Anolis sagrei: one gene and its partner. The protein of the gene in region 1 interacts with the protein of each later gene in a biochemical or structural test. Links are inferred from orthologs where the notes say so. Each region holds a gene or a part of one and is shown in the gene's direction. Other genes may lie near its edges. The genes, in order: MYO6 and DAB2.

Evidence for each region.
Region 2: the proteins of MYO6 (region 1) and DAB2 form a complex in vitro, tested with the Homo sapiens proteins (7 studies listed by BioGRID). The link is inferred for Anolis sagrei from reciprocal best matches to the Homo sapiens genes MYO6 and DAB2.

What each region holds. Positions count from the first base shown.
Region 1 is NC_090021.1:110,727,625-110,742,542, reverse strand, and holds the start of MYO6 (unconventional myosin-VI), read left to right. Parts: upstream 1-8,446; 5' UTR 8,447-8,555; intron 8,556-14,918. UniProt on the Homo sapiens protein: Myosins are actin-based motor molecules with ATPase activity. Unconventional myosins serve in intracellular movements. Myosin 6 is a reverse-direction motor protein that moves towards the minus-end of actin filaments.
Region 2 is NC_090022.1:277,766,927-277,781,963, forward strand, and holds the start of DAB2 (disabled homolog 2), read left to right. Parts: upstream 1-7,739; 5' UTR 7,740-8,010; intron 8,011-15,037. UniProt on the Homo sapiens protein: Adapter protein that functions as a clathrin-associated sorting protein (CLASP) required for clathrin-mediated endocytosis of selected cargo proteins.

The sequences.
Region 1 (14,918 bases):
CCGAAAGATCGGCGGTTAGAATCTGGGGAGTGGGGTGAGCTCCTACTGTTAGCTCCCACTTCTGCCAACCTAGCAGTTTGAAAACATCCAAATATGAGTAGACAAATAGGAACCGTTTTCGGCAGGAAGGTAATGGTACTCCATGGAGTCATGCTGGCCACATGACCTTGGAGGCGCCTACGGACAAGGCCGGCTCTTCAGCTTAGAAATTAAGATGAGCACCATCCTCCAGAGTTGGGCACGGCTAGACTGAATGTCAAGGGGAAACCTTTACCTTTATAGTGTATACTAAAAAGACTTGAAATGCAGCTTAAAAGGGCAAATTAAATTTTATCTGGGAAATAACTTACATATTGTATTGTCAAAGGCTTTCATGGCTGGAATCACTAAGTTCTTGTGGGGTTTTTCGGGCTATATGGCCATGTTCTAGAGGCATTTCTCCTGACGTTTCGCCTGCATCTATGGCAAGCATCCTCAGAGGTGAGGGGATGCAGGTGAGGGGATGCACCTCTGAGGATGCTTGCCATAGATGTAGGCGAAACGTCAGGAGAAATGCCTCTAGAACATGGCCATATAGCCCGAAAAATCCCACAAGAACTTAACTTACATATTTTCCACTTTTTACATTTTACTGCTGTAATTTTTTTAGTTTGGTTGTTTTCAATCAAATGAGAAATTTCAAAAGGTGACGTATGGGCAACACCCAGACTTGTTGGCAAGTTAACAAAAACTGTTTCCTTTTCTTTCTTTCTTTTGATGAGTGTTTCGCTAGTATATATTCCAAATAAGAAAAACAGACCACCAGATCACTGACTGTCAGGTTTCCATGTAGTACAAATACCTCTTTTCTGTTATAGCATAAAAATAGACTGTGGCCCAAGGAAGAGAAAAATAATTCTTCAATAAAAAATTGAAAAGTTGAAAAATTGGCTACTTGTAGAACTTGTTCATAAAACTAGCTTGTGAAAATTAATATTTTGGAAATGTGATCTTCAAAGTAAACTTAGATACCTTGTGTTTTCTGCTAGTCTGGAGGAAATATAAGGTCTGTTCAAAGAGACTAAAACTTAACTGATGCATTTTCGCTGTTTTGCAGTCCAAGTAAAATAATGTGCTTGAAATAACAAAAGGAGATACACTGTGTGCCATCTATGCCACTACAGTCTCCAATTCTAACACCAACTATGAGCCAAAGGTATAGGAGTTCCTGCTAAGTTGCATGTTCCAAGATAAAAAAAACAGAGGAACAGAGAGTTGTTCAGATTACGGACTGTTCTCAAAAGGCTTCTTCAAATATGTAAGCTATTTTCTCATGCCAGCAAGTGGTCAGCAGTATGGCTCACCGGAACCTACTTTATTGCCTGTACAAATGTAAGTAGGACTGATTCAGTGTGTCCTTCCTGGTGCTTTCTTTCTTTGGGCAGCACTGACTGCCAAAAACCTCTCCATGCTCCCATGGTTTTGTTTCTATTCCTACTAGCTCATGCCACAAGCAATCTTGTAAGAGAAAACAATACAAGACTTTGGAAAAACCCTCTTACATGCAGAAATACTCACACTGAGTAATTGTACAATCAATGAATTATTATAAGAATATAATAATTAGCACTAATATTTTATCACAGCAACAAAAAGATGTTAACTATTTGGCTTATTCCACAAAAGTGTGTACAGATCTTTAAAATTGTCACTAAAAGATAAGGTAGTGGGAGGAAGCTAGATGTCTGAGGAATTTTATAATGATGGTGTCACCACTGGCACGCCATAAAAGTTCAGGGCGTCACAAGCAGGGCTTCCCTAGATGCTCTTTGTCTCTTGAAGTTACCTGGGTCCTTGAACTCTGTTTGCTGGCCAATGGAGATACCAGACACCATAATATCCATGGAAAAGAAAGGGAATAAATAGTTCCTTCTATTTTTCAGAACTAGAAGGGCAAAAAGCCTTCACAAAATTCTGCTCCAGCTTTTGTCTGGTAGTGTAATATACCTAGACTAATGCAACATCCTGACCTGAATAGTCCTCATAACCAAGATCAAAGGGCTTCCTTATTCTGTTGAATGCTCTTTTTGAAGGTGTAACAAGGAAACAAGCAGACCAAAGGGAGTGGCCCAAGCCTGTAGCCAAGGGGGCAATTTAGGGGTTCAAACCACCTGTGAACATTTTCAGGTCAAAAGTAAAACATTGTTCACTCATGAATTTTAACTGGTGAACCAAATCTCCATGCCAAGCACATGAGAAGCAAGAGTGCCTCCAGAACTATAAGCATTAGCTCAACAAAACTTTGATTCATACTATCATTAATGACCTTTCTACCAATTTACATTGCAATAGAAGCAATAACTGACAGAATGGAAGTGAGTGCAGTGGAAGCTGCCAAAATGTGGTAGCCAGCAGGCAACTGAGGTGTTTGCCACTGGTTCATCTAATCCAGTGGTTCTCAACCTGTGGGTCTCCAGATATTTTGGGCTTCAGCTCCCAGAAATCCTAACAGCTGATAAACTGGCTAGAATTTCTGGGATTTGTAGGCCAAAACATCTGGAGACCCACAGGTTGAAAACCAATGATCTAATCCAAGCCCTGCCAAGGAAATAATGGAACAGGACAAAGAGAAGCTTTGTTATTGGACTTTATATGAACAAGACTGTTTCTGATGACCAAGTGAAAGCTCAATTAGTGCAAAATCCACAAACTCCATTGCCAGGATGTGTATTTCCTGTGAATATGAAGACATATTTGGGATTTCAACCCAAATGGTTTAGTAGATTTCCCTGGTTAGCCTACTCATTTCATGTACAAGTTGCACTCTGGAAGTACTGTATGGTGTTTGGAGGAGAAGTTGGGTTAGAAGCTTGGTACATTGGTTGCTAAACCATTTGTGTGATGGAAAATGCAATAGAAGTCTTCAATAGACACCAAAAAACAGTATCATCAGAACAACTGGTGTTTGGCTGAAAACGTCTGCAACCCGTCATCATGATAAAGGAAATAAGAAAGAAGAAAACATAAATAAGCTTCTGCCAACTGTAGAAACTATTATCCTTTGTGGCCGACAAGAACTGGCTTGAAGAGGGAGCAATAATTCAGGACCTATTACCCGTGAAGAACCTTTGCACAATGATGGTACTTTCAGGGCCTTGTTGAGATCTTGTGCCAAATTAGGACACACTGACCTGAAAAGTCATCTCGAAGGGAAAAAAGTTTCAACCCCTCCTGAATTTGGAATGGCCTGAAAACCAAAGTGAATACAAACCTAGGTGGAGGTGCAGAAGCGATTAACCATAATTGTCCTGGCAGGAATCATTTTGTTTCCGTCACCCAGAGCATGTCACATGAATGAACAGTGTCATTAGTGAAGCATGCCTGGCTCGAGCAAGAACCCTGCCCAAACACACCTTGGAAGCCGTTTTTAAATGCCTGGAATGAAATCACTCATAAAGGAAATGGCTAATAGGACTTGCTGCCTCTCTGTTATGATTTCTGAAAGGCCACAAAATGGGATTGCTGCTTCAGTTATAGGTGAGAGACGATGACAATGATGATAATAAATTTCATTTGTTACCTGCCTGATAAAAACACACCACTATAAAATAGATACACCAAAACTAATAGTACAAAGATCAAAAAACAGTGGCAATGAAATTCAAATCCCAAAGTCATGGTTCAAAGTTTTCGGGGTAGGTTGTTGTAGGTTTTTTGGGCTATATGGCCATGTTCCAGAAGCATTCTCTCCTGACATTTAACCTGCATCTATGGCAGGCATCCTCAGAGGTTGTGAGGTCTCTTGGAAACTAGGAAAATTGGGTTTATATATCTGTGGAAGTTCCAGGGTGGGAGAAAGAACTCTTGTCTGTTGGAGTTAGCTGTGAATGTTTCAATTGGCCACCTTGATTAGCAGTTGATGGCCTGACAGTTTTTAGATGTGCCTTGTTACTGCCTGGGGGAATCTTTTGTTGAGAGATGATCATCTGTCCCTGATTGTTTCTTGTCTGGAGTTTTCCCATGTTTAAGTGTTGTTCTTTCTTTGCTATTATAATTTTAGAATATTTTAATACTGGTAGCCAGATATTGTTCATTTTCATGGTTTCTTCCTTTCTGTCTACCCTATACCATGCAGCTGTGGACAAGTCTACATAGGGACCACCAAGCGCAGTGCCCAAACATGAATCAAGGAACATGAAAGGCACTGCAGACTACTTCAACTTGAGAAGTCAGCCATAGCAGAGCACCTGATGAACCAACCTGGACACAGCATATTATTTGAGAACACAGAAATGCTGGACCACTCTCACAACCGCCATGTCAGGCTACACAGAGAAGCCATTGAAATCCACAAGCATTTGAACTATTTCAATAGAAAAAAAGAAACAAACCAGTGATTCCAGCCATGAAAGCCTTCGACAATATATTGACTGGGTAGGCCTACTGGAAGAGAAGGTCTTGAGTTGAGTTCTTGAATTCTGACAGCTCATTTAGCTAGAAGATAGAAGAACCTTGTTTTCTGCTGCTCCAGGGCCTAGGTAATGGATTCAAGCTGCAGGGGAAAGGATTTGACCTAAACATTGGAAAGAACATCCTGATGGTAGGAGTTGCTAGTGATTTGGCATGTGGTGAAATCTCCTTTCTGGGGGTTTGCAAGCAGAGCTTGGATGGTCATCTGTCTGGAGTGCTTTGATTGTGTATTCCTATATGGCCAAAGGGGGTTGGGCTGGATGGCCAACTCTATGCTTCTATGAGAGGGAAACAATTTAATGTCACCACTTCGGGCTCTGGGTCAAAGGGATGCTATTATCTGCCATTACTGAAAAATGTGTGTGTCAGCTAAGTAGCTGAAAGTGGCTGCCTTGACTCACAGAAGTGAAGACGAAAGAAAACAAACGTGTTCAGAACTGGTTTAAATAACAGGAAGATCTGGACAGGGCATCTCTACCCGCTCTGCTCAAAGCATAGGATTATCTGCTTCCTTTGATCTTCCACTCTTTGTACCTTTTCATCTCAATGATGGCATGCAATATACATTTGCCCTTTCTTTCCTGGTATATTTATTTGTGCATCATTGTGACATGGCGAGACAGTATGTCTGAATTGTATGCTGGGCAAGTAATAAAAATTTTGGGGAGAAACTCTGTAATGCAGATGTCAAGAATAAGGAGGAAATCCCCTAAAATGAGATACAAAGGAATCCCATCTCATGCAATGCCTTCATTTAGGCTACAAAAGCTTGAAACAATGAAAAAATACTGTTAACAGTTTGCACATGCCTTGAGCTACATAACATGATTTTTGTTCTTGGCTTATACATGTTTTACTTACTAAGGTGATCCCTTGTCTGAGTATGACAAGTGCAGTGTCTTGGCGGTGGATATGTAGGTGACTGTGGAGCCCTATTCTTGATCTACATGTTCTCCTGCAGTGAGGACATCAGTTTCCAGGTGGAAGGCGGTTCTTCTTGGCATGCTTTCCCCCTTTCACCCTCAATTCGTGCCTCTTCGAATTCTGCAGTACTGCTGGTCACAGCAGACCTCCAGTTAGAGCGCTCAAGGACCAGGGCTTCCCAGTTCTCTGTCTATGCCACAGTTTTTAAGGTTAGCTTTAAGCCCATCTTTAAATCTCTCTTCCTGCCCACCAATGTTACATTTCCCATTCTTGAGTTGGGAGTATAGTAACAGGTTTAGGAGATGGTGATCAGGCATTCGGACAATGTTGCCAGTCCAGTGGAGCTGATGGTGGAGGACCATCGCTTCAATGCTGGTAGACTTTGCTTCTACCAGCACACTGACATTTGTCCACCTGTCTTCCCAAGAGATTTGCAGGTTTTTTCAGAGGTAACGTTGATGGAATTGTTCCAGAAGTTGTGTGATGTCTGTAGACAGCCCATGTTTTGCAGGCGTATAACAGGATTGGGAAGACAATATCTTTATAAACAGGCATGTTGGTATCCCTACGGATGTCCCAGTCCTCAAACACTCTCCGCTTCATTCAGAAAGATGCTGCACTTGCAGAGCTCAGCTGGTTTTGCCTTTCAGTGTCAATGTTGACTTTTGTGGAGAGATGGCTGCCAAGGTAACAGAAATGGTCAACATTTTCTAATGTTACACCATTAAGCTGTATTTCTGTCATTGTAGAGGGATTGGCTGGTGACTGCTGGAGAACACTTTACTCGATGTTCAATGACAGGCCAAGCTTCTTGTAAGCTTCTGCAAAGGTGTTTAGAGTGGTTTGTAGGTCTTCTTCAGAATGTGCACAGACTACATTGTCATCAGCATATTGGAGTTCTACAACAAATGTTGTTGTGACCTTGGCTTTGGCTTTCAGTCTGCTGAGGTTAAATAGCTTGCCATCTGTCCGATAGATGATTTCCACTCTGGTGGGAAGCTTCCCATCAACAAGATGAAGTATCATAGTGATGAAGATGGAAAATAAGGTTGGGGCAATAACACATCCCTGTTTGAAACCTGATTCCACCTTAAATGGGTCACTTTGGGAGCCATTGCTGTTCAAGACTGTTGCCATCATGTCATCGTGGAGGAGCTGCAGGATGTTCACAGATTATACATGTCATTTCCTAATTGGTTCTGTCATTAAAACATGGAAAAGGACACCCTGTAGCTTATTTTACTATAGTTTTTCAAGAATATCTCATTGAGTCTCAACAATTTCAACATATTTTTGGCAGTCACAAAAACGAAGTTTGGAGTATAACGAGTACTTTCAAAGTAAGTACCACACAATTAAACAGAAAATAACATTTTCAAACCAGGAACACAACATAGTTCCAAATTTGTTACATAGTGTCATGTTTTCATCCCACAACACATAAACAGTGGGAGAAGCCTCCCACAAGGATGGTAAAACATCAAAACATCCGGGTGTCCCCTGGGCAATGTCCTTGCAGATGGCCAATTCTCTCACACCAGAAGCAAGCTGCATTTTCTCAAATCGCTCTTAACACGAGAAAAACAAACAAAAACAAAACCCAAAACCATAAACAGTGTCAATATTTTTTATTATTATTCTAGGTCTCATATTTTTATTTGTATTTTTGGACCAGGAGATATAATACATTTACCACTGAGTTGCTGTGAGTTTGCCAGGATGTATGGCCATGTTTCAGAAGCATTCTCTTCTGACATTCTTCTCATATCTATGTCAGGCATCCTGAGAGGTTGTGAGGTCTGTTGGAAACTAGGCAGGCAAGGTTTATATATCTGTGTAATGTCCAGGGTGGGAGAAAGAACTGCTGTCTCGCAGTTTCAAGGTCTGGCTGCTTTCTGCCTGGGGGAATCCTTTGTTGAGAGGTGAGTAGCTGGCCCTCATTGTTTCTTACCTGGAATCCTCCTGTTTTTGACAAGAGTTCTTTCTCCCACCCTGGACTTTCCATAGATCTATAAACCCCAGTTTCCTAGTTTGCAACAGACCCCACAACTTCTGAAGATGCCTGCCATAGATGCAGGTGAAACATCAGGAGAGAATGCTTCTGAAACATGGCCATACAGCCCAGAAAACTAACAGCAACCCAGTGATTCCAGCCATGAAAGCCTTCAAAGTGACATTTACCACTGAATTCTAAACAATACAATGTTCTAGGTCAGGCATCTTAAAACTGTGGCTCTCCAGCTTTCAACTCCCAGAATTCCTCACAATTGAACAAGCTCATTAGGGCTTCTGGGAGTTGGAGGCCCAAACAGCTGGAGGGCTACATTTTAAGGATACCTGTTTTAGGTTGCTGTGAGTTTTCTGGACTGTATGGCTATGTTCCAGAAGCATTCTCTCCTGACGTGTCGCCTGCATCTATGGCAGGCATCCTCAGAGGCTGTGAGGTCTGTTGCAAACTAGGAAACTGGGGTTTATATATAAGGGCCAGCTAATCACCTCCCAACAAAGGATTCCCCCAGGCAATAAGAAGCCAGGCCTTGAAGCTGTAAGGCCATTAAATGCTAATCAAGCCATTCTCACCCTTGGGGCAACTTCAAACCACAACATGCAGAGGTTAAAATAGAATCAAATGTATTTGTCTTCACTTTTTTCACTTTACAATTTTCATTTGGAAATCACTTGCATTTTAAATATATATGTGCTATTGTGGTTTTTTAAATGCTTATATTGTATTGTTAATTTTTGTTTATGTTGTACACACTGTATGTATTGATGATTTTACTTGGAAACCGCTGAGTCCCCTCGGGGAGATAGAGAGGTATATAAATACAGTTTTGTTGCTGTTGTTGTAAGGCTCACCTGGTCTCCAAGAGTGGAATGCCCGCTTCAGGGCGCATACCTTCGTGCTTCGCACTGCGCATGCTCAGTTCCCGGGAATGACCATTCTGACCACAGGCCGGGGAGAGAGCCACCGCTGCTGCTCTTCCTGGGGGGGGGGGGTTGGCTCCTCCTCCCGTGACGTCACGGAAGGAGGAGCCCAATCGCGGCCGGGCTTGGCTCCCTTTGGAACGCGGGGGCGGGGCTTCGGCGGCGGCAGCCCCAGCAGGAACATCCTTGCAGCGCCGGGGCCGAGTCGGCATCAGCTGGGGACAGAGCGCGCGCCGTGGCTGCGACCAAAGCAGGTAAACTCGGGAGGGGGAGCCGGGCACAGACCGGGCCTTTGATCCCTCTTCCTTTGCCCCCCCCCCCCCACTCCCGCAAGATGGACTGTGCCTTTCTCCCCGGCTTCTCCATACATTCGGGGCCCAGGGCTTGGCGCTCCTTCCCTCCCTCCTCTTTCCAGCCTGAGTCTCTCCTCTCTTTTGGCCGCTTTCCTTCTTCCCTTTCTCTGCTTGACGTTTCTCTTGCTCGCCTCTTATCCTCTGATCAGATTTGGAGCCAATCTTGGTGTCCAACCAAACCAATCATCCAACTTCGGGGTCTGGAGAAGTTGTTGCGCACTTTCTACACTCTGGCATTGATGCGGTTTTGACACCGCTTGCACTGCCGTGGGAATCCTGGGGTTGGTAGTTATAGGCCAGGCGCCAGCACTCTTTGGCCTGAGAAGGCTAAAAGACCTTGTAAAACTACAAGTCCCACGACGCTTTAGTATTGTATAGTGTTAATTCAGATCAATGCTATGGGATCCTGGGATTTGTAGTTTTAGGTGAGTCTCCAGCACTCTGGCCTGGGAAGGCAAGAGACCTTGCAAAACTACAACTCCCACGACACTATAGTATTATTGTATACTGTGTTAATTCAGATCAGTGCTATGGGACCCTGAAATTTGAAGTTGTAGGTGAGGCGCCAGCACTCTTTGGCCTGAGAATGCGAAAAGACCTTGTAAAACTATGACTCCCACGATGCTATAGCATTGCACCACAGTATTATTGTATAGTATTAATTCAGATCAATGCTATTGGATCATGGGATTTGCAGTTGTAGGTGAGAAGGCTAGAGACCTTGTAAAACTACAACTCCCACTACGCTATAGTATTATTGTATAGTGTTAATTCAGTTTGATACTTTGGCTCAATGCTATGGGATCCTGGAAGTTGTAGTTTTACCAGGCCTTGGGCCTTCTCTGTCTAAGACTGGCGGTGCCTCACCAACCTACAACTCCCATGACTCCATAGCATTCAGCTATGTCACACTGTCACATAGAAATGTCACACTGCATTAATTGTAAACATAGATGCACACACCTATCCAGAGAGAGGGTGGATCTATACTGTAGAATGAATGCAGTTTGGCTCAATACTAAGGGATCCTGGGAGTTGTAGTTTTACAAGGCCTTGGGCCTTGTAAAAATAATTGCGGTCCCTCACCAAACTACAGCTCCCATGACTCCATAGCATTCAGCCAGGGCAGGTAAAGTGGCATGAATACTACATTAATTGTAAACATAGATGCACACACCCATCAGAGAGAGAGTGGATCTACACTGTAGAACGAATGCAGTTTGGCTCAATGCTAAGGGATCCTGGGAGTTGTAGTTTTACAAGGCCTTGTGCCTTCTCTGCTCAATAATCGCGGTCCCTCACCAAACTACAACTCTCATGGCTCCATAGAACTCAGCCATAGTAGGTAAAGTGGTGTCACACTGCATTAATTGCAAACAGATATGCACACACCCATCCAGAAAGAGGGTGGATCTCTACTGTGTAATGAATGCAGTTTGGCTCAATGCAAAGGGCTCCTGGGAGTTGTAGTTTGGTGAGGCACCAGCACTCTTGGGCAGAGAAAGCCTGTTAGGTATTGTGGGAGTTGAAGTCCAAAACACCTGGAGGGCCAAAGTTTGCCCAGGCCTGCTCTAAATCTAGACATGATTGAATCTTTATTTGTATGCCCTACTCTTAGAAGTGTCAGGGTCTTGGTTCTTTTGAGTTTTTAACTCATTTCCGGCTGGGATGATTTGCCTTCCCACTCTGTCATAGGAAACACAGGTTGGCAGTTATTGCTACTTAATTTCAGAACTGGGTTGAAATGCAATAATTATCGGGTTGCTGTGATTTTCCTGGGCTGTATGGCCATGTTCTGGAAGCATTCTCCCCTGATGTTCTGGCCACATCTGTGGCTTCTGGAACATGGCCATACAACCCGGAAAACACCCAGTGATTCTGGCCATGAAAGCCTTCGACAACGCAGTAATTATCCTTTGCAAGGAAGTGATTGTGACAGGGAGGGGTTGCTGAAGGCTTGACCAAAGGAGAAATATGCTGGCAACTTTTCCAGTTCTGAAAAAATACAACTGCCATTCGGTTTGCGTACTTGATGTAGTCACCTGGTATTAGTGAATGAGTTGGGAGAAAATGCACAGTGCATATGTGTTTATTGCCTTATGATGTGTGAGAGCAGATGTTGTAACACTTGAAATAATAATATACTAGTAGACTAATAGACACGGGGCCACAGTGGGTTAAACCGCTAAGCCGTAGAACTTGCTGACCAGAAGGTCAGTGGTTCGAATCCACAGGACAGAGTGAGCTCCCATTGTTAGCCCTAGCTTCTTCCAACTTAGCAGTTTGAAAACATGCAAATGTGAGTAGATCAATAGGTACCACTTTGGCGGGACTTGCTTAGGCGATCCCTTGTAGCCAGAGGATGATGGTCCTCCAAGAGTAGTGTCTTGGCGGTGGGTCCGTAGGTGGCAGTAGAGCCCTGTTCTTGATTCACATGCTATCCTGCAGTGAGGACATAGGTTTCCAGGTAGAAGGTGGTCCCGATCAGGGTTGACTTGATGTGCCTTTCTCTTAGCATGTTTCTCCCTTTCGCCCTCTATTTGTGCCTCTTTGAATTCAACAGCACTGCTGGTCACAGCTGACCTCCAGCTAGAGTGCTCTATGGCCAGGACTTCTCAGTTCTCGTGTCTATGCCACAGTTTTTAAGGTTGACTTTAAGCCCATCTTTAAATCTCTTTTCCTGTCCACCAATATTACGTTTCCTGTTCTTCAGTTTCGGTGAGAAGGTAAGGGCACTCCATGCAGTCATGCTGGCCATATGACCTTGGTGGTGTCTACAGACAATGCTGGCTCTTCAGCTTAGAAATGGAGAGGAGCACCACCCCCCAGAGTCGGACTCAACTGGACTTAATGGCAAGGGGAAACCTTTACCTAGCAGACTCAAGCATCCAGGAAATAAAAATCAAAGAAATAACATTGCATCCACATAGCTGTTTTTAAGCTTGTCTTTAGTTGTCTTAATATGCTATTAATTAATGTATTTCAGTATTAATATCAAGCCGATGCAGAGTTTGGGGTATAATATTAATTAGACCTATTTGAATAGTAGCTGTCAAGCAACCAGAAATTACATTTATCAGGCATGTAGCAATCCAAATAATTGAGTCTACCGTAATAAACTGAATCCATTCCACCATGTAGATGCACCCCTAGTTGGATCTTTCTTTAAATTAACTTGGCATTTGCTAATCAATTCGGACTGTGATGACTTATGTGAAACATGAGGGTCTGGTGTGTTAACAGAGAATCCCAAGTCCTTTTGCTACCCCTCTGTTTTCATCTGAGAGAAAAATAAGGGACGGGGGAGAGGAAGAGGAAACGCTGTGTGATTTCTGGTGAGGGAAAGTAAGGCTTTCCTGTCTTCATATTTATGGCAGAACAAACTTCCTGCAGTACAAGGAGGAGCAGATAAGAGCAGATAAGCCCTGGTTGGAAAGTTTCCTCTTTTGCTGTCCTTTCAGGTGCACACCAGAGCTTCATACAGGAGAAACACTCTACTTCCCTTCCGCTGGGAAAAGGCAACAATCTTCTTTTTAGATAAAATGCATTAAAACCAAGGATACACCCACAATGCGACATGAATGCAGTTTGAAACCATTTTTACTGCCAAGGCTCAATGCTATGGAATCAAGGGACTTGTAGTTTTGTTTGCAACAGTGTTTCTCAACCTTCCTCATGCCGTGACCCCTTAATACAGTTCCACATGTTGTGGTGACCCCCAAACACAAAATTATTTTCATTGCTACTTCATAATTGTAATTTTGCTACTGTTATGAATCGTAATGTAAAGATCTAATATGCAGGATGTATTTTCATTCACTGGACCAAATTTGGCACAAATACCTGATACGCCTAAATTTGAATACTGGTGGGGTGGGGGGTGGGGAATGGTGTCATTTGGGAGTTGTAGTTGCTGGGATTTATGGTTAACCTACAATCAAAGAGCATTCTGAACTCCACCGACAATGGAATTTTTGAAGGATTGAACCAACTTGGCATACAGAATACAGAATATGGTACACATAACTTGAACCAAACTTGACCAACAGAAAATACTGGGAGGGTTTGGTGGGCATTGACCTTGAGTTTTGGAATTGTAGTTCACCTACCTCCAGAGAGCACTGTGGACTCAAACAATGATGGACCTGGACCAAACTTGGCACCAACTACTCAATGTGCCCAAATGTAAACACTGGTGGAGTTTGGGGAAAATAGACCTTGACATTTGGGAGCTGTAGTTGCTGAGATTTATAGTTCATCTACAATCAAAGAGCATGATGAACCCCACCAATGAACGAATTGGGCCAAACTTCCCACACGGAACCCCCATAACCAACATAAAATACTGTGTTTTCTGATGGTATTTGGAGACCCCTCTGACACCCCCTCACGACACCCCCCCTCCCGGGGTCCCGACTCCCAGGTTGAGAAACACTGATTTACAAGTCTTTAGCCTTCTCTGCCGAAGTGTGCTGGTGCCTCGGCAAACTACAGATCTCAGGATCCCATAGCATTAAAGTGGAGTCAAACTACATTAATTCTGCAGTGTAGAGATGCATCCTTTGTTCTGTGAGATAACTGTTCCAAAACAATAGAGTATAAGGTCATTTTTGGTAGCATCTCTATGATAACTGTATCTTGCATTGTAGTCCACAGGCTGTAGTGTGAAAAGTCAAGATAACAGGAATTCAAAAAGCCAATCCTGAGAAATGGATTTGTGAATTGTGGATATACGTAAAATTAATTTGCATAATGAGTCTTGAAAAAAATACTCCTGCTTCTGAGCAGTGCAGCTGCTGATGCTAAAGTTCAGTCCATGTAAGATGGTATCTGCATCAGTCATCTATACTTTGTCCTGTGCTGTTCAAATTTGAGTATGAAATTTACGGAAAGTTGTGTCATTTGATAGCGTCAGAGGAATGAAAAAGTGATCTGATCTGATGGACCAGTTGACTGTTTATGCTGGTTTGTAAATAGTTTGTTGTTGCATTCACTCAAATAATTGCCAACCAAATCAAACCTTTCTCATGAATTTCTTGGTAAAGTTTGTTTGCCGTTGCCTTCCTGTGAGGCTGAGAGAGTGAGACTTGTCAAGGTGGGTTGCCATGACCAAACAGAAATTTGAACCCAGTTCTCTAGAGCCTACCCCGACTCCCAAACTACTATGCCACGCTGTCTCTCATACATGAGATTTTTAACATTTTTGAAAGACTTGACTTTTCCTTAAGGTATCTGGATTAAATATTGTTATTAAAGGTAAAGGTTTCCCCTTGACATTAAGACTAGTTGTGTCCGACTGGGGGGTGGTGCTCATCTCCATTTCTAAGCTGAAGAGCCGGTGTTGTTGGTAGATGCCTCCAACATCATGTGGCCGCCATGACTCCATGGAGTGCCATTACCTTCCCACCAAAGCGGTACTTATTGATCTATTAACATCTGCATGTTTTCAAATTGCTAGGTTCGCAGAAGCTGGGGCTAACAGTGGGAGCTCACCCCACTCCCCCAGATTCGAACTGCCAACTTTTTAGTCAGCAAGCTCAGCAGCTCAGCAGTTTAATCCACTGCGCCACCGGTATAGTATAGCACATGTTTGTTTGTTTACTTCATTCAATTTATATCTAGCTTTTCCAGCAGTATGGGATGCAAAATAGTTAACAAAATTATATTAGTTACATTAATTAGTATTATATTGATATGTACCGAGCTAATCATTGTGAAACCAACGCATTGAGCTCAAGGGATATTCGGCATTGTCTCTCTTCCCACACTCTGTTCAGTTCTATTTATTTTATGTTTTTTTGATACTTACCTCAAGATTGAGATCCAAAATTACTCACAACCTTAATATGATTTAAAACCTACAAAATATGAACTCACAATTATTAAAACAATTAAGTTACAATTGCATTAAAACAAATAAGTAAAATTGTTAAAAACAACTTATAGCATCCCAGGTTCATTTTTTAAAACACTTTATTATTCAAAGGCCTGCCTGAATTTTTTTCAAAAAGGTTTTTACAAGGCAATAAAACAAAAGGTGGAAAAAATGCACATTATATGCTGTGCAGACAAAGCAAATCACACATTTCATTGGGTGCATCCAAGTCTCCAGCAGAAACCTGTCATTCTTTGGATAAGTGTCAAGAAAACGGTGACTATTTCCCAAACTATGACTACTAAAACTACTGAAAATTATAAAGGTTGCTTGCTATAAAAGAGTGTATTAATACTTCTCAGACAAATTTGAAAGATGGTCCTTTTGTC
Region 2 (15,037 bases), on another chromosome or scaffold:
GAACAATATTTTTTAAAAAATATATATATATATTTCTCTAGTCATTTTGTGGATTCTCTTGAGTGGTTTGCTTTGCCTGAAAGTCCAAGACATCGTTCATTTTAAGTAAGAAAAATAGGCTTCCAATTTGTCTATCCATGATGGAATTCTAAAGCTGGGAGATATATCACATGGCTTAGTATCTTGCCATCCCTTATCCAGAATTGCCTACTTCTTGTCATTACATTCTTTCATCTATATCTTTAGCAGTTATGGGAAGGAATTCACTGTTCTACAAACAGCTCATTCACACTATGGAGTTTCCATTTGCAGGAGTGGACTCTATAAACATATGTTAGTACTAGCAGCTGAGCATCCCTTAACAAAAATTTGTCCACATGGTTGGCTCAGAGAATGTCACTTTTGCTTTCTAATGATTCAAGATACACAAACACTGTTATATGTACAAAAATATTGTATAAAATTATCCTCACCCTGTGTAAGTAAGAATAAATGATTTTCATATTTAGATTTGGGTGCTATCTCTGAGATGTCTCATTATGTACAAATATGCAAATATAGGTATTCCAAAATCCAAATAAAATTTCAAAATCTGAAATATATCTGTTTCCAAGCATTTTAGATAAGGAATGCTCAACCTTGTCAACTCTTACCACCCTATTCTAAGGGCTAGATGATCCCAGTTATTGCTGACACACCAAATCTTTTTGGAGTGGTGGGTGGGGAATCTTATTAAACATGCCTCCTTAAAAAATCCCCTACATACTAATTTTCTATAATTATTCTTACTCACTTGACTTAAATCCTCTGTAATTGTTTGACATGCACACAAGCTTTGAAAATTTGTTATTACTGCCTGTAAGACACACAAATGTAATATAAACCACAAATAGATAGTCTCCAGTTGATAACGGAAGATAAACGTGCAATCCTCATGTTTAATTGTGCATATCATCAAGATAGGGCTTTGGAGTATGGCTCTAGGGACTCACTTTTGCAGGAGACTGCAAAGATAGAAGATCTTACTTAGCAGTTTTGTCTTTACAGCACATTAAGCAAGTAAGCCCAGTGTGTTTAATCCATGGATGAAAAACTGTGTCTCATCTGGTTGGTTTATTTGTTTGGATTAACATATATAAATGTTTCAATTCTGACACAATTGTATGAAGGAGGCATTCCACTGATGTCCAAGAGGATTATTTTTCAACAATGAACTTGCACCTTCTAAACCAGTGGTTCCCAACCTGGTTTAGAAGGAGTTTAGTCCACAAGGACTAAAATATGGTGTGCAGCCTCACCGTCACTACACCGTTGCAATGACCGGTCTCATAGTTTAAATATGGTTAGGTATTATTTTCTGGGTGAGCAGATGGTGACTACTGGAAGGCATATGTTCTGTATCAGAAACTAGAGCTGATGTCTATCCAATGCAGTTTTCTCAATCAGCACCCCAAATAACCAAACCAAATCTAAAGTTGACCAAAAACTGATTTGTAACCATTTTGGTACTAATGTTGGAGAGTGGTCCCTGGACAAAGTGGTCCCTGGTCAAAAAGGGGTTGGGAACCACTGTTCTAAACATACATTGTGTAATGGAAGGAAGTCTGCGATTTTGTCATTTTCTTATAGAGATGGGAAAGCCAGGGAACAGCTAGGTGCTTTTAAACAGAGAATGGTTTTTTTAAAAGTATGAAATGGACTATAAATACAAATAATCCAGTATCCACAAATCATGCCAATAACATTATGATCCAAGTTATGTTTTGAACCGCTAAAAGTGTAGAATGACTATCTTCATTAGTGATTAGGAACTACTGTTTTAAAATATTTTAAATACCCACTAGAGCTATACTACTGAACAAACACACACATTTGAGAACTTTTAGAGTGTACACAAGCCCAGTGTAACTATCAGTTAGCAAATCCTTGGGTTTCAGTATCAGATTTCCAGCTCCTACTAAAGTTTTCTGCTCAGAAATGGGGTTTCCTACACATAAAACAGATTTTCTGCACAAAACCCGTTTTATTCTTTGCAAAATTCCTCTGCAGCAGTTTGGAACATTCTGATAGGGGAAGAAGGCTGCAAAGAAATAAAGTCGGTCTTGGGTTTAGGATGCAGGACTCCATGAAAGTGAGAAATCATGAATTAAAATGGCCATTTCTATCAAGTTACTTATCTATTAATATTATATCAATCTTACTACTAGTGCTGCTACTACTACTTGCTTGAGATAATACTTATAGGGTTCAATGGTTCCCAACCTGTGAGTCCCCAGGTATTTTGGTCTACAACTCTCAGAAATCCCAGCTAGTTTACCAGTTGTTAGGATTTCTGGGAGCTGAAGGCCAAAACATCTCATGACCCACAGGTTGAGAACCACTGTTCTAGATCCTCCAGCATGATTCAAAAGTCAACTTCAGCTGGAAGCTGATAACAGAATTGTATTGGAGCACCGAGAAATTCCTAGAAAGAACATTTTAATCAAATCCATTAATAATCAAATTAGCGGTCAAAACCGCTAATGTGGAGAGTTGAGTATATTCAATTTCTCTTGTAACAGGGAGAATATGCATCCTTGTATGTGAGGACAAAATGGTTAAAAACTTATTTTTGTGCTTAACTCAATCCGAAGAAGGTAATGTTCAGCCCAGAAGAGACAAATTAAGTGAGTAACTGGAAATTCAGGACACAAAGTGTGAAAAAGAAAGAGAACGGAACATTTCCAACCAGACCTAGCTCAGAGTAAGGGTGCAGTCTTGGAAGGCTGCCCAGGTGGCTCTCTGGGGCATTGTCTGCCTTGAAGGGCGGTCAGTATACTTTCATTCATGTTCTGCATGTATATTTGTTACTAAAACAAATCCCCCATGTGATTTCTCATATATGGCAAATTATAGCCCTGGAAAGGAGGAAGAGGACAGGGAAGAGGAAGCATTTCATACACACACACAGAGACACATATAATGTTCTCAGCTGGCCAAATCAATTACTGTATATACTCGAGTATAAGCTGACCCAAATATAAGCTGAGGCACCTAATTTTACCACAAAAAAATGGGAAAACATATTGACTCGCGTATAAGTCAAGGGTGGGAAATGCAGCAGCTACTGGTAAATATCAAAATAAAAATAGATACCAATAAAACTACATTAATTGAGGCATCAGTAGGTTAAATGTTTTTGAATATTTATATAAAGCTGTAATTTAAGATAAGACTGTCCAACTCTGATTAAATCATTTTTCTAACCTTCTTCAGTGTAAATGTATTTGCATATCCTTCCAATAATGACCATAGTTTATTTTAACTATACAGTTTGTGGAAAATACTGTGTGTGTATGAATAAGGAAAAGTGGGAAAGACTGGCACCAAGAGAGGTGGAGAGGAAGGCACACACCGCACTGAGAGAGGAAGGTGTGTGCTGCGCAGGAGAAGAGGAGAGGAAGGAGAGCTGGATTGCTGTGCGGAGTGGTGAGGGTCCTGCAAGAAAGGCGTGGGGCTAAAAGATGCCCTTCTTTCAACCCCAGGCCTTCCCACCAGGACCCTTGCCTGAGTATAAGCCAAAGGAGGCTTTTTCAGCCTAAAAAAGGGGCTGAAAAACTAGGCTTATACTCAAGTATATACAGTAACTTCTATTTTCTAGTTATATTTTCTAAAACAATCCTGTTAAACAAAAACTCCCTCCACCCCCATGTTGTGCATAGAGGTGGAGACTGAGAGTGCATCTAGACTGTAGAATTAATGCAGTTTGACAACTGCAGTGTCATGGACTAAAGGCAACTCAATTTTCAAGCTCTTTAGTCTTCTGTGTCAAAAAGTGCTGGTGCATCACTAAACCACAAATCCCAATATTCCATGATGTTAAGCCAGGGCAGTTATACTAGTGTCATTCATTCTACAGAATAGATCAGGAATGGGCAAACTTTTTTGCCCTGGGGCCACATTGCCCGGAGGAACAGGCAAGGAGGGATGGCAAGACCAGGAGGAAGGGTGAGGTGGGCTCAGAAGGAGGTGGGGCTGGGGGCGGAGCAGGCCATGGAGAAGGCAAGACTGGGGGTGGGGTGGACCTGGGAGGGGCGGGGCCAGGGCAAAGCAATCCCAGGAGGGATGGAAGAGGGGTGGGGAGGGGAGGAGCCAGGGGCCGATCATCTTCATGCTTTCCTCTGAGCATAAGGATGGAGCTGCTCACCCCATTCTTATGCTAGGAGGCAGATGAGGCTTCCCCACCTGCCTATCTCTTCTGCCATCATCAGACGGGGCCTCACCTCATCCTGACACCAGGAGAAGGGAAAGGTATCTGAGGTGACTTTGCAACTGCTTTACTTGCCACCTGCCTCTTTTCCCGGGCTGGGCTTCTCCTGGCATAAGGCTGCAGCCTCACCTCCTCCTGATGCCAGGAGAAAGAAGAGGCAAGCGACAGACAAGGTGGTTTTGAAGCCACTTCACCCACTGCTTGCCTCTTCACCCAGACCAGCATTGGGCCATGAGGAGGGCCCAAGAAAGACATGCAGCAACTGAAAGCACTCTGGAGGGCTCCCAGACACCACATGTCTTCCTCCCTCATCTTTTCGGCAGCCAGCCACATCCTTATGCCCAGAGGTTGTGGGAAATGTTGAGGGCCGGACATAAGGGTGCAGAGGGCTGTGTCCAGCCTGCAGGCCTTAGTTTGCCCATGCCTAGTATAGATGAACCCAGAGACTGACTTATTTAAGGCTACCTAATGAATTAATAGTAGAGATGAAAATCAGACTGGGGCTTCACCTGTATACCTGTTCATTTATACATGATCCGCTACAGTGCATCAGTCTGCTATTTTAATGAGCTGTGTGATATGTAAAGAGCTTGCAACATTGAGGATGTGTCTAAGCTTTCTCAGTATATTTCACTTCCTTCCAAATGCAATAGTAGAATAAGAGACCCCCAGGGCCCTTCCACACAACCATATAACCCAGAATATCAAGGCAAATAATCCACAATATCCGCTTTGAACTGGAATATCTGAGCACACACTGCCATATTATGCAGTTCAATGTGGATTTTATACAGCTGTGTAGAAGGGGCCGTAGAATCCTCAGCCAGATAGCTCTTCTGTTTCATCAAGACATCATTCAGGTGTTTTGGATTTCAGCTCCCAGAATTGACCATTGGACAAGATGGCTAGGCCTTCTAGGAGTTGGAAGCTCAAACAACTGGAGGGCCACAGGCTGTCCAGGCCTGGTCTAGACAATGTCAATGCAATCTAGAATTGCAATAGCCATTTTAGCTGATGTATCACACATCTGGCTATAACTTCATACTAATCAGAGGTTCTTTGCTTCTAAGTATTTCTGTTACTGCTTGAAGATTGATTCTGAGGGAGTTCCTAGCCTCCCTAACCAGGTTTTTCAGTGCACGGCAGGCTGCTGCATTCAGGATTCCTCAGATGGAAGCTGATCTGTCAGCAGTTATCATGTTTGGCATTGCATTTAGGCCAGTCATTGCATTCTGTATCACACATTTAGCATTATGCCTGTCAAGCCACGAGGACATTAAAAAAATCCCATAGAATATGGTGTGTCTTGTAGCATTTTTGAAAAAAAGAATTGCTATCAAGCATCTATTATCTCAATCAAAAGGTTTCATGAGTAGTAGCTTCACTACTACGTGCAATACTGACATTCTGATTTTGTTCAGAATGGCCCAAATGCATTTACATACACCAGTATCTGAGCATTTTTCTCATACTTATCATACCTGAGAAAAAATGGTTAAGGCAGAAGTGACCTGGAGATTGCTAAGTATATCTATTTGAATATTTTTTAATTTATTTATTTTTTGGTTGGCAATGATTTGCAGAAGGCAATCAACCTGGGGTTGGGAATTATGTGATTCACTAATATGTGTATATATATATTTCCATTGCATGTCCAAAAGCCAGAATTATGTGTTGAGTTGGACTCTTTAAAAATGACTTGGTGGACTTTGTCTGATCTATTTCCAAAGGAAGTCGGCAGGGATTGTGGACATTTGGGTTCCAGTTCTTTGAATCTATCCTGTTTCCTGTAAGGCCAGAGTCACACTGCGTGGAGTGTTGTAATGCACCCACTACAGCCAAAGGTCTATCTAGTGTAATGTTCTGCTCACATAGCAGCTCACCAGATGTCTAGAGGAACCCCACAAATGTGACAGGAGTGCACTAACATCCTCATGGTAGCCTATCAGCTGGTGTTGAGAAGTACCTTGCCTTCAATGATGAAGTTTTTTTTTCATGTCAGGAGCAACTTGAGAAACTTCAAGTCGCTTTTGGTGTGAGAGAATTGGCTGTCTGCAAGGATGTTGTCCAGGGGACGCCCTGATGTTTTACCATCCTGTGGGAGGCTTCTCTCATGTCCCCACATGGGAAGCTGGAGCTAACAGATGGAAGCACACTCCGCTCCCTGGATTTGAACCTACTGCCAGCACAAGTGTTTAACCCATTGCTGGAAGTAATATGTAGTCATTATGACTAGCAGCCATCCACTGAACAAGATAAACATGTATAGTGGGAGTATCCACACTCCTATTAGTGTAGTTTTCCAATGTCATGGCTCCATTCTGTGGAATTTTGGTAGTTTCTACTCCTTCTTCTCTTCCCTCCCTCTCCTCTTCCTCCACTACTACTTTTCCTCCTTCCCTCTCATTCTCTTCTTCTTCTACCTCCTCTCATTCCTCCTCTTTGCCTTCCTCTTTCTCTTCTTCTACCTTTCTTTCCTCCTTGTACTCCACTTCTCTTTCCTCCCATTCCTCATTCCTTCTCTTCCTCTTCTTTTCTCTTCCCCTCCTTCTCCCTCCCTCTCCTATTCCTCCTCTACTCCTTCTTTTCCTTCTTTCCTGTCCCTCGCGTCTTTCTTCTCTTCTTCTCCCTCCTCTCCTTTTCTTCTTCTTCATCCCTCTTCTTCTTCTACTTCTTTTCCTCCTCTTCTTTTTCCTTTCTCTCCTCCTTCATTCTGTTTGTCCTCTTCTACTCCTTCTCCTCCCTCCCATCTTCCTCCTCTGCTCCTCTTCTCCTTCTTTCCTCCCCTTCTCTTCTTTCTCCTCTTCTCCTTCTCCACTCCTTCCTCTGCTTCTCTTCTACTTCTTCCTCCCTTCTCTTCTTCTACTTCTTTTTTCCTCCTCCTCTTCATCTTCTTCTCTTTCCTTTATTGGGTTCATCCTCTTCTACTCCTCCTCCTCCCTCCCTCTCATCTTCCTCCTCTACTCCTCCTTCTTTCCTCTCCCTCTCTTCTTTCTCCTCATCTCCTTCTTCCTTCTCCACACCTTCCTCTCCTTCTCTTCTACTTCTTCCTCTCTCCCCCTTCTTTTGTCCTCTCCTACTCCTTCTTCTCCTCCCTCCCTCTCCCTCCTTTACTCCTTCTCCTCTCTCCCTCTCATCTTCCTCCTCTACTCCTCCTTCTTTCCTCTCCCTCTCTTCTTTCTCCTCATCTCCTTCTTCCTTCTCCACACCTTCCTCTCCTTCTCTTCTACTTCTTCCTCTCTCCCCCTTCTTTTGTCCTCTCCTACTCCTTCTCCTCCTCTCTCCCTCTCATCTCCTTCCTCTACTCCTTCTTTCTCCTCTTCCCCTCCTTCCTTCTCCACTCCTTCCTCTCCTTCTCTTCTACCTCTTCCTCTCTTCCTTCCTTCTTTTGTCCTCTCCTGCTCCTTCTCCTCCTCCCTCCCTGTCCTCTTCCTCCTCTCCTCCTTCTCCCTCCTCCTCCGGGGCGGCGAGGGTTAAGCGTGGGCCTTGCCGCGGGGGAGCCTCGGGAGCCCAGGGGCGGCGAGAGGAGGGCGGCGCATTCCTGGGCCGCGCTCAGCTGCCAGCCTCTGATTAAAACCAGCCTCGCGGGCCCGGAGTGGCTGGGCGGCCGAGGACGACGACGAGGAGGAGGAGGAGGAGCGGGAGGAGGCTGCGGCTATTTAAGCGCCCCGCGCCCTGACAGCTCACTTGCCGGCTGCCGGGTGGTCGGAAAAGGAGGAGGAGGAGGGTCATGCGCCCAGCGGATCGCCCTTAGGCTTCGCGTAAGTCCCGCGCCGGAGGGGCTGGGGCCAGCGGGTGGGCTCGGAGGACGCCTTCTTTGCGGGAGACTCCGGGGTTCGGGAGCCACCCTTGCGGCCTTCACATCGGAATACCTTCAAGTGACACCTTTCCGCTTTCACATAGGGTTTAAAGAACTGCACTTTCAAGCCTGGCTTTGTGGCTGTTCGGGGGAGGAGTTGGGAGCTACCTTTCCCATTGACTTCGTTGGGCCCAAAGGCAAGCGCGGTTGTCCCTCCGTGACCACGGATTCTGCGCCCACGGATCCCACCATCCATGCTGGAAGCATAAAGGACAGCCACACCATCCAGGAGACTTGAGCATCCACGGATTTGGGTATCCATTGTGGTCCTGGAACCCAAGCCTAGCGGATACCTGGGTCCACTATATTGGCCTTCACCCTCCTATGCTGAGTAATTTTTCTGAGCTGCTTCAACATAATAGAGAAAAAATCCACCTAAAATCCGGATTCTGCCTCCTGCAGAATTGTGGCGTTTGCAGTGGAAGGAGGAGCCTTTAACAAACTCACTAAACTACAAATCCCAGAATTCTGTAGGATTTTAAGTGGATTTTTTCTCTCTATTGTGATGATAGGTCAGGTATGGGCCAACTTGGGCCTCCAAGTGTTTTGGACTTCAACTCCCACCATTCCTCACAGTCTCAGGCCCTTTCCTTCTCCCTCTCAGCCACTTAAGGAAAAAGAGGGGGCCTGAGGCTATGAGGAATGGTTGGAGTTGAAGTCCAAAACACCTGTAGGATCCAAGTTGCAGCTGAGAGGGAAAGGGGACTTGAGGCTGTGAGGAATGGTGGGAGTTGAAGTCCAAAACACATGGAGGACCCAAATTGTGGCTGAGGGGGAAAAGGAATGGGCCTGAGGTTGTGAGGAATGGTGGGAGTTGAAATCCAAAGCACCTGGAAGGACCCAAGTTGTGGCTGAGGGGGGAAAGGAAGGGGGCTGAGGCTGCGAGGAATGATGGGAGTTGAAGTCCAAAACACATGGAGGACCCAAGTTGTGGCTGAGAGGGAAAAGGAAGGGGACCGAGGCTGTGAGGAATGATGGGAGTTGAAGTCCAAAACACATGGAGGACCCAAGTTGTGGCTGAGAGGGAAAAGGAAGGGGACCGAGGCTGTGAGGAATAGTGGGAGTTGAAGTCCAAAACACATGGAGGACCCAAGTTGTGGCTGAGAGGGAAAAGGAAGGGGGCTGAGGCTGTGAGGAATGATGGGAGTTGAAGTCCAAAACACATGGAGGACCCAAGTTGTGGCTGAGAGGGAAAAGGAAGGGGACCGAGACTGTGAGGAATAGTGGGAGTTGAAGTCCAAAACACCTGGAGGAACCAAGTTGTGGCTGAGGGGGAAAAGGAAGGGGACCGAGGCTGTGAGGAATGATGGGAGTTGAAGTCCAAAACACCTGGAGGATCCAAGTTGCAGCTGAGGCAGAAAGGGGACCTGAGTCTATGATGAATGGTGGGAGTTGGAGTCCAAAGCACCTGGAGGACCCAAGTTGCGGCTGAAGGGGAAAAGGAAGGGGCCTGAGGCTGTGAGGAATGGTGGATGTTGAAGTCCAAAACACCTGGAGGACCCAAGTTGGCCCATTCCTGGGATAGAGTGTGCGAGGTCTACAAACACCCAAGACACTCTCTCCCCTTTCTCTCCTTTCCAGGTTTCTCAAAGTCTCCCTAAATGCCAGAAAATTGCTGAGAGGGAGCTTTCTCTCTTAAGGAATTCAGGACTCTTGGCCAAGTTGGGTGTTGGGGAGGGAGGCCGAAGGGAGGAAGGAAGGAAGGAAGGGGGAAATGAATGGGGCGCGAGGGAGACGTGGGCCTGGTGTGTTTGCCTGTGTGTAAAGGCTAGGAAACTTGGACTGGGCAGGAATGTCCTAGCAAAAGCTGCCTGGAAAGTAAAGTACCACCCTTAAAAACAAAACAAAAAAGAGAGAGGATTTTGCCAATTTGGAGAGGGTTGACAGCAGGCCTGCAAAGCCCAAGGAAAATAAACAAGCCTTGGAAATGGCAGGCTAATGTATACAAATGAAAGGGAGTGAAATAGAACAAGGCCGCAATTAAGTGACAGGGGGTCAAGAATGCCTTCACGTTGAGAGAGAGACTACTAGAAGTTTGATACAACAGGACTATCAGAGGGAGAGTTATAGCCTCCTTGAAACTCATGCCACATCTTTAAAGGTGCCGAGCGGCTTAAGTGAGCCTTAAATATGGACTCCTGATAAGCTTCAAGGCTGATGTAGTCCCTGCTGAGCAGAACCACCTCTCTGAAGTTAGCAGAGCTTCCTCCCAGGTGTAAAATCATTCCTCTGGTTGGGTTTATTGAGTTTTCCAGGCTGTATGGCCATTTTCCAGAAGCATTCTCTCCTGACATTTCACCCACATCTATGGCAGGCATCCTCAGAGGTTGTGAGGTCTGTTGGAAACCAGGCAAGTGGGGTTTATATATCCGTGAATGTCCACATAGGAGAAAGAACTCTTGTCTGCTTGAGGCAGGTGTGAATATTGCAATTGGCCACATTGATTAGCATTGAATGGCCTTGCAACATCAAAGCCTGGCTGGTTGCTGCATGGGTGAATCCTTTGTTGGGAGGTATTATCTGGCCCTGTTGATTCTTGTCTGGATATCCCCTGTTTTCTGAGTGTTGCTCTTTATTTACTGTCCTGATTTTAGAGGTTTTTTTCCAGATTGTCCACATGCTTGTGGATTTCAATAGCTTCTCTGAGTAGTCTGACATGGAAGTTGTTGGAGAGGTCCAGCATTTCTGTGTTCTCAAATAATGTGCTGTATCCAGGAAGCATGTAGACAATTTCAACCATGAAAATGAACAAAATCTGGCTACCAGTTTTACACATCTCTAAAATCAGGACAGTAAATAAAGAGCGATATTCAAAAAACAAGGGAATTCCAGACAAGAAACAATCAGGGTCAGCTAACACCTCCCAACAAAGGATTCCCCCAGGCAGGAAATAGCAAGGCTTTGTAGCTGCAAGGTGGCCAATTGCAACATTCACACCTGCCTCAGGCAGGCAAGAGTTCTTTCTCCCACCCTGGACATTATTCCACAGATACATAAAACCCATTTGCCTAGATTCTGACAAACCTCACAACCTCTGAGGATGCCTGTTATAGATGTGGGTTAAATGTCAGGAGATAATGCTTTTGGAACATGACCATACAGCCCGGAAAACTCACAGCAACTCAGCGATTCTGGCCATGAAAGCCTTTGACAGCACATTCCTCAGACTCAAGTGAAAACAAACAGGAGTTCACTTAAGGAAGCCAGGTGGCAATAGTAAATTGTTCCTCCAATAATAAACACCGGCTGAAAGGGGTTTGGACCAGGGCTAAACGGTTGAGCCAGGAAGGCTAGCATTGTCTTGGGAGTTTGCTCCTGGCAAAAGTTGCTTGGAAACTTAGCACAATTAACTTTTCAAAGGTCCTGGAGCCTTCCTGAAAGTCTCGTGCTTTTCTTCTTCTTTCCATTTCACCCAGTCAAGGAAGGGGAAAATATATCTTGCTAATAAGGGACTGTCAGAATGAATTGAAAACTTTTGTGGCCAGAATCACTGGGTTGTTTTGAGTTTTCTGAGCTGCCTGGCCATGTTTCAGAAGCATTCTCATCTGATGTTTCTCCCACATCTATGGGAGGCATCCTCAGAGGTTGAGAGATCTATTGGAAACTAGGCAATTGAGGTTTAGTTTCCAACAGATCCCTCAACTTCTGAGGATGCCTCCCATAGATGTGGGTGAAAATTCAGGAGAGAATGCATCTGGAGCATGGCCACACAGCCTGGAACACTCACAACCCAGTACCCATGTATTTTGAAGTGAATAAATTCAGAGTAAACAAACAAACAAACTTTGATAAAATGCATGATAATATACTTGGAAGTTGCTATTTTTGTGGAGGGTAGTGGTCTTAAGACAGTGTTTGGGGAATGCAAGATTCATACAGAGGATCGTTGGTATCTGCAGAGGTTTGGATCCAGGAAACTCTCCCACATAGATACCAAAATCCATGGATGCTTATTTATTTTATTTATCGTGTCAGTAGCAACCAGACAGTTGTATTACATTTTTAAACAATTTTTTAACAAACAGACAAAAACAGAGTTTGCAAGCTTGGTAGTTGATTAAATGTCCTTTGACCAGTAGCTGGCCACTTGGAGTGCCTCTGGTGTTGCCGCAAGAAGGTCCTCCATTGTGCATGTAGCAGGGCTCAGGTTGCATTGGATTGATGCTCATTGCATGGATGCTCAAACCTACTGTATACATTGACATAGTAAAATGGTATCCATTACATAACAGGGCCAAACCAAGGGTTGTTTTTGGGATTGTGTGTGTGTATATGTATATACATTCAAGATGTGGATAATAGAATCCATCAATATGGAGGGCTAACTGTGTAGTCAATAAGGAAGTGCCTGTAAGGTTGAAGATTGTCGTGTTGCCTGTTTTGAGCCTGTGGCATAGGATTTGAAAACCTACAAACGTAACCCCATCACCTGCTTATTGGTGAGGAAATTCTCACCCAACTTGTTAGACACCTTATTGAGGTGCAAAAAACAAAAGCAGAAAACAAACCCATAACTCAGCCTTCCTCTTAGGTTCCTATTGATGGTGGCCACAGAGGAAGCCAGCCAGTCATATGCCTAGGAAGGTTTTCTGCCTGGGAGTATTCTCAGAATTCATTTCTTAAGTTCTGGCTGCAGTCAGGAAATAGGAGAGAGAGCCAAACGCTGCTGGCCCTAAAATAGAAATGTGCTTCTGCAGAGTGTGAAAGAAAACCTGCAAGAGGAGGGACTGGTGACCTCTACCCCACAGGTGTAGTCAGGAGAGTTAAAGGTGTTATGAGGATTGCTAATAGCCAGAGAACTAAGCCCTTAACAGAGTCAGCTGGGATTTAAAGAAGATGGTCCACAAGATAAAGTTTATGTTTATTCACTATTTATGTTTATATCCTACTTTTCCTTTGGTTAAGTGAAGGTAGCACATGTACCTCTCTGGCTTCCTTACTTTACATTCACAACAGTCATGTGAGGCATATCAGGTGCCAAGAGAGGGTCTGGCCCAAATTGGCAGTGATTTTCATAGCTTAGGTGAGAGTATAATCCTGCTCTTCAATTCTCAGGGGAGCAACGTAAACCACCACAGCACTGTGTCTGTAATTGTACTATAGCAGTGTTTCTCAACCTGGAGGTTAGGAACCCTAGGGGGAGGTCGCAAGTGGGTGTCAAAGTGCTTGCCAAAGACCATAAAAAACACAGTATTTTCTGTTGGTCATGGGGATTCTGTGTGGGAAGTTTAGCCCAATTCTATTGTTAGTGGGTTTCAGAATGCTCTTTGATTGTAGGTGAACTATAAATCCCAGCACCTACAACTCCCAAATGTCAAGATCTGTTTTCCCCAAACTCCACCAGTGTTCACATTTGGGCATATTGAGTATTTGTGCCAACTTTGCTCCAGATCCATCATTGTTTGAGTCCACAGTGCACTCTGGATGTAGGTGAACTACAACTCCAAAACTCAAGGTCAATGCCCACCAAAACCTTCCAGTATTTTCTCTTAGTCATGGGAGTTCTGTGTGCTGAGATTGGTTCAATTCCATTGCTGGTGGAGTTCTGAATGCTCTTTGATTGGAGGTTAACTATAAATCCCAGCAAATACAACTCCCAAATGACAAAATTAACTCACCCCCAACAGTATACAAATTTGGGCATATTGAATATTTGTGCCAAATTTGGTTCAGTGAGTGAAAATACATGATGCATATCTGATACTTACATTACGATTCATAACAGTTGCAATATTACAGTTGTGACACATAGTAACGAAAATAATGTTATGGTTGGGGGTTACCACAACATGAGGAAATGTATTAAGGAGTTATAGCATTACGGAGGTTGAAAAACACTGTATTACAAGGGTTTTCCTCTCTCTGCTTCTAGGGTGAGCATGTCACGTTCCAGATTTCTTTCTCTTATCACCCCCTACCGCTGGCTACTCAGCATAGAGTTGATGGATGTTGTAGTCTAACAACATCTAAAGATCCATGTGTTTCTAACCCTGCTCTGCCATAACTAGACCAATCTTAGCTTATGTCTGTCTAATGAACACTGAACACTGAGATGGCAGTTCTCTCCCAGTGTGGTAGCAAGGCATATCTGGCTTGCTGTGAGGTTTCCAGGCTGTATGGCCATGTTCCAGAGTCATTCTCTGCTGACGTTTCACCCACAGCAACCCAGTGATTTCGGCCATGAAAGCCTTCGACAACACAAAGTATACCTGCCTTTTGGTGAAATGACAAAACTTTTTTTTCTGAAACACTGTATGCAAAGATTTACAAATTGCTTTGAAAGCAGGGACTATTTGCAGCTTTCTCTTTGTAGATATAATGCTTAACTATGGTTAAGCATTTCTCCTTAACTGTGCCATAGAATTTGAGAGCAGGTCTAAGTTCTAGGATTCCGACTCAAATCTGAAACTCCATGGAGCAACTTTATTAGTTACTTATGTGTAGATTTATCTATAACAGATATTTTAAGCTCAGTTTCTCTAAATCAGCTGGCTCTTGAGGGAAGACACAAGATTCTAAGGTAGCCACAATGTTCTTTGAGCCATATACATTTCAGGTCATCCCTCTTGTGTGTCAAGTCATTTCTGACCTATGACACCCCTATCCAAGTTTTGTTCAAAAGAGGTTTGCCATTGCATTATTATGAGGTTGAGAAAATGTGTGACTTGCCCAAGGTCAGGGTCTAAGGCAGTGGTTCTCAACCTGTGGGTCCCCAGGTGTTTTGGCCTACAACTTCCAGAGATCCCAGCTAGTTTACTGGCTTTTGGGGTTGAAGGCCAAAACATCTGGAGACCCACAGGTTGAGAACCAATGGTCTAAGGGCTGAAGGGGGATTCAAGCCCTGGTCTCCAGAGGCAAAGGTCCCTTCCATACAGCTGTATAAAATCCATTGAAATGGAATATATGGCAGAGTGGACTCTGATAAGTCA